Linked DNA regions of Astyanax mexicanus. The protein of the gene in region 1 interacts with the protein of each later gene in a pairwise test. Links are inferred from orthologs where the notes say so. Each region holds a gene or a part of one and is shown on either strand. Other genes may lie near its edges.

What was found.
Region 2: the proteins of cep70 (region 1) and rhpn1 interact in binary tests that used the Homo sapiens proteins (3 or more experiments, as listed by UniProt). The two-hybrid records come from large-scale screens. The link is inferred for Astyanax mexicanus from reciprocal best matches to the Homo sapiens genes CEP70 and RHPN1.

The regions. Positions count from the first base shown.
Region 1 is NC_064430.1:21,251,722-21,259,729, reverse strand, and holds the start of cep70 (centrosomal protein of 70 kDa), read right to left. Parts: upstream 3,022-8,008; 5' UTR 2,814-3,021; coding exon 2,733-2,813; intron 2,635-2,732; coding exon 2,535-2,634; intron 958-2,534; coding exon 834-957; intron 1-833.
Region 2 is NC_064408.1:54,510,295-54,518,269, reverse strand, and holds the start of rhpn1 (rhophilin-1), read left to right. Parts: upstream 1-4,928; 5' UTR 4,929-6,458; coding exon 6,459-6,533; intron 6,534-7,975. Other genes in the region: naprt (nicotinate phosphoribosyltransferase), read left to right, coding at 508-623, 1,586-1,779, 1,872-2,012, 2,103-2,187, 2,306-2,386, 2,811-2,913, 3,747-3,904, 4,245-4,352 and 1 more. UniProt on the Homo sapiens protein: Has no enzymatic activity. May serve as a target for Rho, and interact with some cytoskeletal component upon Rho binding or relay a Rho signal to other molecules.

The DNA of each region.
Region 1 (8,008 bases):
TCATCACACTGTGTACCTGTACTCAGATGTAATGACAATAAAAGCCTCTTGACTTGACTTGACTTGATCAGTAACTGACCTGACTGATACTGCTGCTCTCATGTGGCTGAATGCAATCTAATACTCTACACAGCAATGTTCCAAATTCTGGCGTAAAGCCCTTTCAGAAGAGAAGAGGTGGTTACTGCATTACAGGAGGACCAATTCCCACTTAATAGCTGAAGAGGCACTAAATATTTAGAAACTAAATAAATGAAAAGACAGAATAATTTAAATTATACAGAATAATTTATTTAATAATTTATTTTAAGTCAAATTGTAGTGTTTCCCCTGAGGAGGCATGAGCTAGTCTTCATCCTCCTGGTGTGTTGGGGCATTACTAGTGATTGGGGGGGTCCTAATGAGTGGGTTGGGTAATTGGCTGTGTAAATAGGAGAGAAATGGTGGAAAATATATATAATATATAAATAAAATAAATTAAAAAAAAAAAGATAAATAAAAAAAAGATTAAAAAAGAAAAGCACTCTCAAGGTTTTGTGTGACCAGAACAGTACGGCTGGAATAAATTAATCTTTAGAATAAAATAATAAAATAAATGTTTTAATGCCATGATATAAGAAATATAATGCAACAGTAGAAAAAAGCGGTAATTTTACTAAATCCAGTGTAAGGCCATGTTTAGTATTTAGCATTTAGCCAGTTGTTTACTTTAGTTCAGTTTCATTTATATATAAAAAATAAATTAATAAAAATTAATGCATCACTACTAATAGTCCTGATTTCAGAAAATAAAAACATGGTTTGGGTAAATAATACTGTAGAACATGTCTTACTTCAGCTGGCTGTTGGACTGAATGAGCTCCTGGATGAGGGCCTGCCTCCTCTCAGAATCTGTCAACATTGTCTTCAGCATGTTCCGCATTTCAGCTGATGATGTTCTCTCCAGCAGAACCAGGTCTAAAGAGCACAAACAATACAGCTTAGATCTGATTAAATAGAAAACTTATCAATACAAACACGGATACAAACAGTCATAGTGTAATGTTGTGCCCAAAACAAACTAAAACTAAATCAGTGTGTCTTAAACCTGGTTTACACAGCAGATCTTTCAATCTGGTCTTTTTTGTTGAATGTGACACAGATATTTGATCTATGTGGCAGTGTGAAATCCAAAGAACACACTGAGTCTAATATTTGATTTGGGCCACTTTAGGTAGATCAGATTTTTGATGCAACACTTTATATGATGTTTAAGTTTCACATTAGCCGCATTACAGGAGCTATTAAGGAGTTTCAGTAGATGAAACCTGGACTTCCATTCAGATTGCAGTTATGGAATCCTGTGATGTTTCATTAGAAACACTGAGTGGTTGTGACACAATCTATGAATTACGTTTAAAAGAAGACTTCACCCCATCTATAGGGCTATTATCTTTTATGAGGTCATTATTCAGCAACTGAACCCCTGTCTCACTGCTGTTGTCCATTTTCCCCTTCTCCTTACTGCCATTTTTTTCCATAAATGACGTAAAAGTCACATACATTCCTGTCTGTCTATTTAGACTGAGTTGCTTTGCTACAAATTAGACAGGTATCAGATTTCAATACCACAATGGAAAATTACCCAAATCGGAACTGAAACTGTCAGTTTTTTGCCTTTTATACTGCCAAACTAAGAACACATCTTTAGCTCTATCCAAGCGGGATTTATTTCTCAGGGGGTCTTGGGGTAATTTGCTCTTTTATAGGGGGGTCCTCTGTGATTTTATTTCTGTTCAGAACGACCATATACGTGTTTTTCTCAGACGTCCTGAGAAAATGACAAGTTAAATTACCTACTTCTTCGGTGAACTCCGTGTTCCTCCGATAATTTTAGTCATGTTCAGACAGACATCTCTGAGTTTCATCTCCTCGCGTCCACTACCATGCATCGTAATTACACTTTGGGCGCATGTTTCCACGGAGATCCACGTAAACACAACAACGAGTAGAAGTGGAGGAGCTACTGAACGCAATGTCATGTGACCGAGAAAACCATAAAACTCACTGAGAAGAGTAGAAGTGTGAAATATTTTTCACAGACAGCCACCTGAGAAACTAATCCTGTCCAAATAGGGCTTATGTCACATACAAGGGAAAAAATCAATTTGGGTCACTTTTATATGCTATTTGTCCACAGCCATAAGTGGTACTAAAATTCGAAATATTTCCTATTTCTAGCAATGCAAGTGAGCCTCAACAGCCAGATCAGAATTAATTTACACCAAGGAGAAGGAAAAAATGTGCGTCAGATATTTATGAAAGGCTAACAAACACCCCTGCACCTCTGTAAGAACTTGTCAATTAACTGATTAGTTGAAACAGGTGTGTTAAGAGAAGAAAAAGCAATAAATGTGCAGAGCAGGGTGAGCCTAGCATCTCTCATAACTAACTAAAGAAGCACACAACACATATCAAATATGTCATTATACCAATAATGGCTGTTTGACAGATTCTGAAGTGAACTACTCCTTTAAAAACTAGACTTAGAATACCTGCCAGGTTCTTGTTCTCTGTTGGATCCGCAAAGCGAACAGGTTTGAAACCATGATGTTGCAGCATCCGATTAACAGCGTCCCAATCCGTCTGCTCCTGCTGCAAATTAAAATCAAACACCTCAATCATTACACAGTTTCTTACCAACACTGCTGAGATTCAGAATGGAAAGATTTGTGCAGAGCATCAGTAGCTACCTGAAACTGACTGTAGTTCCACAGAAAGACATACGTCTTATCTCTAGCATGAAGCCGAACAGTCAGAGCTGTCCTGTCCATCTCTTCTCTACACCTTCACTCAACTGACCTAAAAACTACTGCTTTTGACTGCTTTTATGGAAAATACAGAACACAGTATACAGGTGACTGCTCTCTTCTGCTAGGTGCCCAAGCCGAGTTCCTCTGCTCCTCTGGGGACCAGGCTGGTGTACAGCCCTTCATTTAAAGGGAGGCTGGTGCAGATCGGATTACAACACATGGCTGCTCAGTGAATGGGTAGAAAAGATGCAGCTCACCTTTTCCATCATAGTGTCCTCTTCCTCTCTGAGGGGATCTCTTCTGTTGCACAGGTTAGAAGATTTGACCACCCTTATAACATCCTCTCACCTTTTTGGAGTGGGAGAGTTTCTGAAAAAATACATCTTAGAATCAGTGAAGTAGTAAACTCTCAGAAAAATCAAGAAACTACACAGCAGCAAAGAAAGTTCATTTATACAGCACTTTCATTCAACGGTCATTCAAAGTGCTTTACAAATTAGACAATTCAAAGAGAGTCACATAAACATGCAAAAGAATGACATAAAAAATAAAAATGGAAATAAAAATAAAATAAAAATGAGAACAATAATAAAACATGATTAAAACAATACATTTAAAAGAAGGAAAATTAACGAAATTAATTAGAATAAAAGTGCTGTTACAGCTAGAAAAAGACATTTCTAACAGAATTAAATTTTAATGTTTGACAAAGTTAGTTTAAGATTGACAAACCTTAACCCTACACCTGTCTTCTGATTGTTCTATGAAATGTTAATTAAATGACTAATGACTAATTTGCCTTATAATGTAATGCATATATGCATTTATCCACTAAAATAGATTTTAAAAATACATTTTATGCCCAACATTGCTCTTACAAAAACTAGATAATTTGACCATAATTAGCCCAGACCTATCAACACTGTACTGGCCTCCAGTCAAATTCTGCATAGACTATAAAATTCTCCTGTTTACGTTTAAAGCCCTGAGTATTTGCAAGCCCTCATCTCTTATTATGAACAGTCACAACAACATAAATCACAGGGAGCTGGTTTCCTAGAAGTTTCCAAAAACCCTTTTATAAACCTCAACAACTCTGGAATAACCTTCCAGAAAATGTTCAGGGCTCAGATAGTCTCATTCTCGGAAGTCTAGTTCAAAAACGTACTTGTTTAGTTTAGCTTTTGGTAATTAATGTTCCCCTTAGATAAGGCTGCAGATCCAGGGGTTCATGGACAGAGGGAATTGTGGTAAACTGAGATGCTGGTGCTGTTGTTCTCCCACTGAACGTGGTCACTCAGGTTTGTGGACGGTGGAGTGGGTGGTTGCCGGTGTTTCAGGGTGCCTCTGTGTCTATGTTACCTTCTGGCTCTCTCCCTGTCATATAGTTTGCTCTCCATAAATCCAGTCAAAATTCATTTTGACTTCCTACCTTCTTTCAAGTTATTGACTGCCAACCTGTCCAGACTGACACTAATGGATGTTTGACCCTCAGGTCGACCCTTAGGTTCTCAGGTCACCTGTGTGGCCTGATGGAAGTCCCCGTAGATCAGGTTTCCCCATCACCCAACACACATCAGCTGTCCATTGTTCAGTTTTTGCCACCTGCATTGGACAAGTTGCTCACTCTCCACTACCGATTACATCCAAGTTTGTATGATACTCTAACTAAGAATTTTCTAACCGCTTCCACTGCTGGTGTGGCTATTTATCTGAATATAACAACCATAGAATGACTATTTAACAACCAATGATTAAGTTCTGACCAGAGGAGAATGGGTCCCCCTCCCCTATATATTAGCCTTGATAGTATGTGTGATAGTATATGTGATATAAGGTACTCCTTTATCTCTGAGGGAGTTTTTCCTTGCCTCCGTTGCTCGCTGGGGGTTCTGTATTGTATGTCCAATGTTGTCTGATTCTCTGTCCTGTGATCACATTTCTGTTAAGCTGCTTTGTGACATCAGTTGTAATACAATCGCTTTATAAATAAAAAGTGATTTTTTTTATTTGACTCTTAAAACTAGGTGATCTAACACTGTTTATCGTATTGTTATGATTATTTTGTAACGATATCAGTATATAAAGACCTAATGTTTGTTTTGTTTGAGTCCTGATAAACTGTACATTTGTAATGATTGAATCATTAATCAAATTTGATGAAAGGAGGATAATACCGTATGGGAGAGAGAATACTAAATAACCTAGGTTATATATTCGATTTTGCACTACTAGTTAATGTAGTCACCACCACTATGAACAGTTATTACACCGAACCTTATAGTTATATTTATTCATATTATATTCATAATGTATTTCTATTTAATCGTAAAGTTGATGAATTAAGTAAGATAGATAAAACAATGTGCAAACTTTTATAAAACATTAAACAAGTTACTTAGTAATTTAACCCTGCTATTAGCTCAGTCAAGCTGTAGCTCAGCTGCAGATATAACGTTACGTGAGTTTAGAAAACCTGTTGTTTATCTGAAAACAGTAGATTAACACTAACGTTAATTAGGCTATCTGAGCTATAGTTCACCTAATCTAACAGTTAGCTCAGTTAGCTCTAAACCTACAGCTGCTGCTGTCAGCTAGGTTAGTTAGTTATCTTAGCTTAGCTTAGCTCACACCAGCGTTTTACTGCATGAGACGGATTTTAAGTTAATTTATTAACATAAGCGGGAATACTGAGACTAGTCCTACCTTAGAAAGTTACGGGAGGACCATCGTTTAGTTTAAGGTCGGTTTTATTTCTCTGACCCGCAAACAGAGAGCGCTTTGTTGGGGTTTTCAAAATAACTGCAAAAGTGACACATGAGCTCGATTCCGGAAAACGGACCAATAGAGGACAAGATAGCCGAAGCCACGCCCCCTGTCCGTTCACCGCGCGCTCTGACTAAAAAATAATTAATTTTTCTTTAAAATAATGTGTTAAATCTGTGTACAAATTACAGGACTATTTTGTGTTTAACAACCCAGCGCCTATTTTTATTTTATTATTATTGTACAGATTTGCAGTTTGCTGTGTGATACCTTAGTTTTTTAAGTATTTCATTATCCTTTTTTATTATTTTATTTTTTTTCTCCTTTTTGTATATGCTTTTGGAATAAAAAAATATACAGTGTTTTTACTTTGTAATTTTAATCACATGAAAACAATTAAGCGACACATAAGGAAACTAGTACTTACGTAGTAAACATAATGTTTATCCTCCACAATCTAAACCTGATCTAAACCTTATCAACTGAGATGGTGATTTGAGGTGAGTTGGGATGAGCTGGAGCGTCATTAATTAATGTTGTTATATAAAATCATAACTAATTAAGGGACTTTATTAATTAAAGTGTCGGTGTAACGTTAATTGGTGTAATAGATAGATAGATAGATAGATAGATAGATAGATAGATAGATAGATAGATAGATAGATAGATAGATAGATAGATAGATAGATAGATAGATAGAGTCAAACTTGCTTTAAATGAGGATGTAAATACTGTAAGTTAATGTGGAGCTGCATGCACTGGTAAAATGTGTCCACAAGAGGGCAGAAAAGACACATAAACGAGTAAGCCCATTATCCTATATCTTAGTATGTATTCCTCTGAAGACGGCAGCGGACTGATAGTCTGAGCGTTCTGGAAAAGTCTAGAAAGGCTGCATGAAGTTTTGTCAATTTATACTTAGTCGTAACCTTGTCTAAGTCTGCATTGTTCATATTTAACATAATATTCCTGCCCTCTGCTTTCCTTTAAAGGGTAGATATTATGCAAAACTCACTTTTTGCGTGCTTTTGTATTTCCATCTGGGTCACGACTGTTTTTATAAACACTCCAAGAATCACATCAATCCATGCGTTTTCTATAAATCAGGTTCAGGCGGTGGTTTTAGACTGCTTTTTAAAGTCAGAGCTAATGATACTGGCTAAAATTGATGTATGAAGTAAGCTAATTAAAATGTTGCATGTGTCTTCAACAGAAAACAACGCATTTTTGTGTTTCCCATTCTTATTGAATGAAATATTCATAAAATACATGCTGAAGTCTGTATTAGGAGAGATTAGCTCCAAGTTAGTAGCTTGTTTAACAGCTAGCTGCTAATACCATACCTGTCAAGTTTTGGACTTAAAAATAAGGGATTTTTTCCGCCGCCCCAACAGCCCAAACGAGGGGGGAAAAAAAAATATATATATATATATATATTTTTATTTATTTTTATTTATTTAATAGACTTAAAATTGAAATTGAAGGGTGCACAAATTTACAAATAGGACATGGATCAGATATATTCCATAAGTAAATAATAGTCCTAAGGGGCCTACACAATTAATAATCTTTCATTAATACTTCTTTCTATCGTTCAGTCCACTCCTGATCAGTTCAGTTAATTTCAGCCCTCTCCACATTTTCTCTCTCTCCAGCTCAACCATCTCTTCTACCCCTTCTAAATAATACATTACATTACATTATAATACATTACCACAATACTTGAGATTTAAACAAATTCTAACAAACCCTAAAACTAGCCCTGAACTAATAGAGTTTGGAAATGATAGTTATTGGCTGATCAGGCACATCAGGGCAGGGCATTATATATATATATATATATATATATGTAGATTTTTCTCAAACCCTGAATATCTATCTAGCTAATTCTAAAGTTAAGCTAACTGAGTCACAAGCTGTATTTTATTAAACACACAGTGGGTTTAATTTGTGTTTTGATTCAGAGAAGAGTCTTTTTAACCAGCTATCAGAAACAATCTCATCACAGTTTACATGGTTAGTTACCTTTCTTTTAGAAAAATCTCCGTATATCCAGATTAGTTTTAACGACAGCTGCTCCGACTAGCTGCCTGAACTCACAGCGAGGGGAGGGGCGGGGCTTCCCGCACACTAAACTGCGCTCCGCAAAACCAGCTAGCTGATTGGCTGTTTCTCCTGAAAGGCGGGACTTTCTACTTGAACCGGCACCACGATTGGTTAAGAGACACACAGCGGTCAGTGCATTGTCGCCTGTGGCCTATATATTTTTTTATTTAGTATAATACGGGAAATTTACGGGAAAATACTAATACGGGAGGACGGCGGGAAAGAGGAGTAAAATACGGTAGTTTCCCGGCCAAAACGGGAGACTTGACAGGTATGGCTAATACTACAGGTTAAGCAACAAAAGGGTTACAAGCCAATAACACTGAGCAACAACTTACCACAGT
Region 2 (7,975 bases), on another chromosome or scaffold:
CCTTATAGTGCGAAAACATACTAGAAAATAGACATTTACTGAGAGTGTGCCTTATAATGTTTTTTATAGTGCGCCTTATAATCCAGTGCACCTTATAGGGCAAAATTTTTGGACAAAATTTTACAATACTTTTTGTCTCATTAGGTAATCTAGTTGAGAGATAACCGTAAGTGAGTGTTTAGGTAATGATTTACACAGTTTAACTTAAAAGATTAGGTATTAAATATTAAAGCCATAATTGGCTGCATTTGCTTTCTAAATATGTTTGTGTGCAATGAGCTGGTGTAATGCTGTGCTAGTTATCTTAAAAAACAGTTTTACTGCATGCCCAGTTAATGACACCTTATTAAAGATCTTTTGATCATTAATAATGCACATTATTACATAATAAAGTGTAATTTGCATATTTTTCCTGACCTTTTCCTGATTGTATTCGTAGCCCAGCTTGCCATGAATCTAGAGCAGTGTGAAAGCGCATGCACCCTTTAGCTGTCTTTCTGGCCTCAGGTTTTGATTTGACGAGTAATGCTCTGGCTGGGCGTCTCTTTGGGATTCCAGTGGCAGGCACCATGGCACACTCGTACGTCACATCCTTCTCCTCTCTGGAGGAGGTATGGCCACAGGTGCGTCATGACCTCGTTTTCTGTTACTAACCTGTACTAGATGTACAGAAGTGTAAAATAGACACAGTATTAACACTGAAGAAGGTGCATTTGTGACCAAATCAGGAATGACTCATTGTTCACATTGATTAATGTCACAGTGACCATAATGACTTCAGAGAAACTGCAGCTGTGCTGTACGCATTCGCTGCATTTCACGCCTTAAAGAATATAAGAGAATATTTCCCAGCAGAAAGTTTTCGTGAGTGACAGGCCAGTAAAGCATCTGACAGCATGTAGGTAAATTTTAGGTAATTGTTTAAATTATTTGTCCAGATACGAGTCTTTTGGCAAAACTTCAAATGTTATATTCACCTGTCATTGAACATTGCTCTGGATACAAGTATCTGCTAAATTTTCAGTTTTTACTGAGTTACTAAGTTCCGTTTTGATTGTGTTAAATTAATCCAAATAATTTAATGTATTTAAGTCTTTGACTTGTGCTGGTTAGAGACTATTAGTTTTATTTCAGTTTGCAACATTACAACATTTATTTGTGAACATTAATGACAGAATCTGGGTTCAGAGTGTTGAGATAAGCTTTGATTCTGAAAATATTATGTATTTTTACCAAGTACTGTTAAATTATTCAAGAAGGAAAATGTATTGACTTGTTAATATTTACCATATTTGTCCACAACTTCATGTGTGATCATGTGTAATCCTTTACACAGTCAACTGGAAATAGATTAAAACAGCATTCAAAATAGTTTATGTATATATATAAACTATTTTGAATGCTGTTTTAATCTATTTCCAGTTGACTGTGTAAAGGATTACACATGATCACACATGAAGTTGTGGACAAATATGGTAAATGTGTGTGTGTATAATATATAATAGAGTGTATAGTGCATGTTTATTCAAGTAACTGCATGCAAGATACATAAAAAATTGTTGTTGATTTTCTAATTTCACTGCAGACTCTGGTGCCCTCTGAGGGTGATGACCCCATTGACTTCCTCTCTTTAGTGAAGGGCTGGTTAGGACGTGTGTGCCAGTTACTGGGAGCTAGACCTCAGCAGGTGCGGGAAGGAGAGCTTGCGGCCTTACTGTCGTACGCTATTGCCTATCCCAACAACTTCCTGCCGGTGATCGACAGCTACAATGTCAGCTGGTAACACCTGGTTTCTGAGATTAACATAGTTTGACGGTATGGAATAAGAAGAATGTTAAATATGTTCTATTGTTAAACGTGTTTTATTGCAGTAGCGGGGTACTGTGTTTTTGTGCTGTTGGCCTTGCTCTGTGCGAGCTGCAGTATCAGCCACTAGGAGTGAGGCTGGATAGTGGCGACCTCTGCAAGCAGTCTGTAGAAGTGCGTTGTGTTTTCAGAGAGTGCAGCAAACAGTCAGTAACAAACCATCCTTCCAACTCCTTGATATAATTCTGTTGATTACAGACAGATGCTAATCAGATGTTTCTCTCTGCTTTCTGTAGTTTTTCCGTCCCTAAGTTTGAGTCTCTCCTCATCGTTGGTACTAACAGCGTCTCTGAACAGAGTCTTGTTGAGCTCAACAAAAGAGTAAGTTTTTTTAAAGGCTTCTTACTAGAGAGGTATTGTTAATTTACAGTTTAGTTCAAGCATGATTGGTAATTTTATGATGCTAACCTTATGCTACCCTTGTTTCTGTCTCTGTCAGGACAATGAGATTGATGTAGTGGGAGTTGGAACTCACCTTGTGACCTGCACAAGTCAGCCCTCCCTTGGCTGTGTATATAAGGTAACCCACGCAAAAACAACAATGAAAATAGGTTTTAATTCTTGTTATAAAAAATTAACCAGTTTCCCAAAAATAATAACCAGTATGCAGTAACTGATGAATTGTCATTTTAAGAGTTCTTTTATAATGATCATTTATTAGCAATGTTTAATTATTAAGGGTATTCAGAAATTGTAATAAAAATATGTATAAATATTGTACTTAAATAAATTAAACAGAAAACCACTGTTTTAAAACAGTCAACACACCTGCTCATGCACATTAATGTCCTGCTAATGTACTTGCTAAAAAAATACAACGGGCAGTACTGGGGTCAGTGGAAGTTACGTCTATTTATTGTACGATCAATTGATGTAATTATCAGGACAGGCCTAAGATGAAGCCTCATGTGTTTATATTCATGTATTTTTGCACTTTTTGTAAGTTGGTAGAGGTCAGAGGCTGCCCCAGGATGAAGCTGAGTGAGGACCCAGAAAAGAGCACACTTCCAGGCAGAAAGGCAATCTACAGACTGCTGGATACTGAGGGTCTGGCCACTTTTCCTTTTCCTCAAACCCAATCCCTTTTCTCTTACGTTTACAGAGTTTTTTGTAGTCTTGTTTTTTGTTTTAAATAGGATCATTTTATGAGCCAGAGTTTCAGTGCAATAATAGCACTTACCACTGTTAACGATTACTTAAGACTAGGCTTGTTTAGGTTAATTCCGTGGATGTTTGGTAGCTATGCTAAAACACTCCTGGTGTCCCCTTAATATTAAATTTAAAAAAAATCATGGGATAGCAGTATGTAAATTGATCATAAACTGTTACCTTAGGGGACAGTTTGGGGATGCCCACACCTGTAAAAGTTATGAGGTGTTCTCTTGTAAAAGGGGCTGAACACTGGCCAGTGTGCCCATGGCAAGGTGACATGAATTATGGAAGTTTTAACAGAGCCTGGTAGTGTGTGTTATATGAGTCCGATGTCCCACACTTTAGGTTTTGCAGGTAGTAAACAGTCATTTATCCACAGTGTCACATGTTCTTGGAATACACCATAGATGGCATTAACACCCACAGTGGACAGCACAGTGGGTAGTAATGATCGTGACTGGCAGCATCTGGTTAGTCCACATTCAGTGTAGTAGACCCCAGACACATATTACACAGGTCAGTGCAGTGTTCTTTAGCCTCTATGGTCTTGGGATATGTTGCATGCCAGTGTATGCTGGTGTGTTTTTATGATGAATATTTTAATTTGATTTTTACAAAATTCTAAATCAAATATTTTAGACTTATTTTTTACTAAAATATCGGCATGCGCATATTTTCTTATGCTTTCCTGTGTCATTCATTCCTTCTCTTTGTGCATTCACACACAGGTCATCCTCAAATGGATCTCATCTGCTTGTCAGAGGAGCCAGCTCCAAAAGTGGGAGTACCGTTGAATTATTACCCATTAGGTCTAAACAAGGCTGTCCAGTCAGTCACACCTTCCCAAGTGACCAGCCTTCGATTAGATGTGTTTTCCCATGGTGAGGTAAACAAACTTTTTTTAATCACTGATCATCTAAATGTCTTTAAACAACCATAAGCGCTCTGTGTACTTTTTCAGAAAGCATTTAGGATCATGTTCTGACCCGCACTAAGCACCTTAGCCATCAAATGCTTGTTGTGTTATAGATATATTTAGTTTAATTAATTACATTGTAATGCAGTTATTATAAAAAATAAAATTTTGAAGTGAATGACCTGATAATCCAAGGTCAGAAAATGGTAGTCAATACTTGCAATTCTGTTAACAGCCAAACCCCATCCTTTCTTTATGCGTTTTCCTGTTAACGCTCAACATGGTAAAATTTTATATTTTGAATTTTCAGATCACTTTACCCCTGAGCACTGCACCCGAGAGTCGAGTACATGCCCAGACCTCCCTCCAAGCCATGTATCCTCACCACAAGAAACTGCAGGAGCCAGAAAATTACACAGTCAGTGTTTTTTTATCTATATATAAAAGTTAATCAAACTACTTGACATAATATCAAAGATATTCTTCTTATCACTGTGTTATTGCTTATATAATCTGTATTTCTGATTTTTACAGGTGGCTATATCAGAGAGAATTCATTTGCTTGTGTCTAACATTCGAAAGGGAAACAGCAAAGGCAGTCATTTTCTGCTCTCCAACTGAAGCAACCGAGCCACTTGGGTTCCTTTGACCTTGGATTTAGAGAATAATTTCTACATGTTTCTTAAAAAGCTGTTGAAAGCGCACAGATTCTATCACACATACATTCTCAGTGTTGATGTTATTTTCAAAAATTTTAGAGTGTATTTCTGTAGTCTTTATAGTACTGACAATTACATAGCAAATGACTTTGGCTTGTAATTAAAACTGAAAGATTAAAATTTACAAAGCTGTGTAATGTTTTATTTTACCCACTAATATGTTATCATGTTTAAGGATACTGCTAAAGTATATATATATATATATATATATATATATATATATATATATATATATATATATATATATATATATATATATATTCATTAGGTACCTAGATACGTCGTATGTGGCACTGAATCGGGCCATATCAACATGCCAGCTAAAAATTGGATAGGATCTCATTAGGATGTATGGGCGTTCCACATTTGATCATCTGATTATGGCCTATTTTCGCAGTCATACAGACAGGTCCTTCAGTATTTGGACAGTAGTGAAGTTTTTATTATGTTGCGTCTGTACATTACCTCAGTGCACTAACCCTTTCAGACCCTGCGTCAATTACAATGGACTTCATGTCATTATATTTTTTAATTGTTTTGTTACACAGAACCCTGATTAAGACCTGTTGTCCAACAGAAACCAGTCAATGAAACAGTAGCTTAGCCCCGCCCACTGCACTGGACAAATAAAAATCAGCAACTCGGACATTAGAGCATGTCAACACTACAGAACAAATAAGGCAAAGTAATGAAAACTCTTTTTTCTTTTTATCATATTAAGTTATAATGTTTTGGCTAATTGGATTTATTTTAATACAGATTTTGTATTAGGATAGTAGTGTCTAATTTTGTGTGCATTACAGACAGAAAACATTCTTATATTTTTTCATCATTGGAACATAATTCAGGTCTAAAGAAATTTAAATGAAGTGAAGACTTCCAAGGTTAATTAAATAGTTGGGGATTGGAGGATTTCTTCATAATCTATCTGTTTTGTTTTCACAGGATTAAGATAGCTTTTGCAGGTTGTGATCATGCAAAAAAAAAAAAAACATGTGAAAGTTTGTCTACATGTTTTTTACAGCGCTGCGGGGTTAAGTTAGCCCGGGTCAGTGTGAGGGGAGACGGTGGGAAGTGTGTCAGTGGGGGACAGTGCGGTGGTGAACAGTGGGTGAAACGTTGGGCCTCAGTATAAAGTCTTTGTCTGCACTATCGACTCCTCCCGACTGACGATGCCTCTGCGTTGCCACGGACAACGGTCGTCTTTCCGCTTCAAATCACTTTTGAACACGCCCACCTGCTCCGGGGTTGGCGCTCGGACTGCCAATCAAGTTTCCACCTCGTGCTCCTATTGGACAGCTGGGCTGTCGCTCACCTGTATCGCGCTCCTATTGGCTAAAGCAGAGGAGTGGGCTCGTTCTGGGACTTAAACCGGAGCAGGGACGCAGATCAGCTGCAGCAGCGGGTCTGCAACAAGTGTCTTGCTGTTATTTTCGATAGTTGTTCTCTACCGGGGTTCTGGTTTGGCATTATGGTGAAGAATCGTCTGCAGATCGGAGTTTTTTACTGGATAGAGGGGTTGGACTGGTAGGAAACTAATCCAAAGCCCGGGTTTAAGTGGGTCCTGCTGGTGAATGCTCCATGTGTGAGGGGGGATTACCGTGAAACTCCCGGATTTGCTGAAGTTTGACATGCACGCAGTCTGGAGTGTCGCGTGACCTCGTGTCGCAGTACGGGCGCGCGCTCTCCGCTTCTCCCGAGTTCGCGTTTCTTTAAGGACTGCAGGGTCCCGGCCGCCCCGCGCGCCCCCCGTGACGCAGTGAGTGTAGTGGGCAGGTGAGCGAGTGCCCCCCGGAGAGAGGAGAATGTCGGACACTGGCTCAGAGGAAGAGGTATCAGTGCTGAGGGAGGAGGGGGTCTCCGGAGGATCAGTCAGAAAGGTGGGTGTTTTAATGTTATTATTGTAGTAAAAGGAACGATCCCGTTACTCCATGAGTTAATCTTACCCAGCGGGTAGTGCGGAGTCTGCGCAGTGCTCCTCACAGCCACTCATTTCTCCTAGATCTGACTGTAATGGGTTCTCTGATATGCAGGGTTAGAATGGCTTAGTGCTCTCTTACAACACACATCAGTCTTCTAATAATTAGGCCTGTTATACTTATTTGTATTTTTTTATTATTATTATAATGATTATGTTTATGGATATTGTTTACCTATTATGCTTTTTATTAAGCATAGATGAATAAACAGAACAAAACGTGTGTGTGTGTGTGTGTTAGTGTAAGTTATACAGTATCCAACAAAAGTGAGTACACCCCTCCCATCTCTGCTAATATTGTATTATATACTTTCATTGGACATCACCATAAAAACAAAAATGTCCATCCCTTTTGTCATGTGATTTGTATGGCTGGGGGGTTACAGTTCTCTTATACTGACCTGTGGATATTTAAAATGACAAATAATTCTCTAAGGATGTGAGAAAAAGAATTGCTCTCCACATGATTGTCTAGGCAATAAGAAGATTGCTAACATATTAAATTGAAATATAGCAGGATGGCCAACGTCATACAGCAGGTTTCCAGAAACAGACTTTTCCAGGGTCAAACTAAGAAGTTGAGCCCACGTGTTCAGTGTAATATCCAGATGTTGGCTTTAAAAAATAGACACGAGTGCTGCCAGCGGGAGGTCAGCCTGCAGTGTTCAGACCATAAGCCGCACATTGCATAAACTTGTGTCTAAATATAGCTATTATCCCAGAAGGGAGCCTCTTCTGAACCTGATGCACAAGAAAGCCCTCATACAGTGCTGAAGATAAGTTCAAGAACATGGATTACTGGAACTGCGCTCTGATGGACCAAGAAACTTATTTGGCTTAGATGGTGTCCAGCATGTGTGACAGCATCCTGGTGAGGAGTACCAAAAAACTGTCCCTTGCCTACAATCAAGCATGGTGGTGGTGGCATCAAGATCTGGGGCTGCATAATTGCTGCCGGCACTGGGGAGCTGTATGCCAACATTCTGAAGCAGAGCATGATTCCCTCTCTTCAGAAATTGAGCTGCATGGCAGTTTTCTAACACAATAATGACCCAAACACACCTCTAAGTTGAAAAGTGCTGTGCTGAGGAAGCTGAAGTTAAAAGTGGTGTACTGGCCTAAAAGTATGTGTTCAGACCTAAACGCAGTTGAGCATCTGTGGGACATTCTCAAGTAGAAGGTGGAGGTGCGTATGGTGTCTTAACATCCACCAGCTCCCTGATGTGATTATGGAACAGTGGAAAGGGATTCCAGAAGCAACCTGTGCAGCTCTAGTTAAGGCAGTGATAGATAATAATATTGACACTATGCAAAAGGTTGGACATGTTAACTGTGAGGTGTACT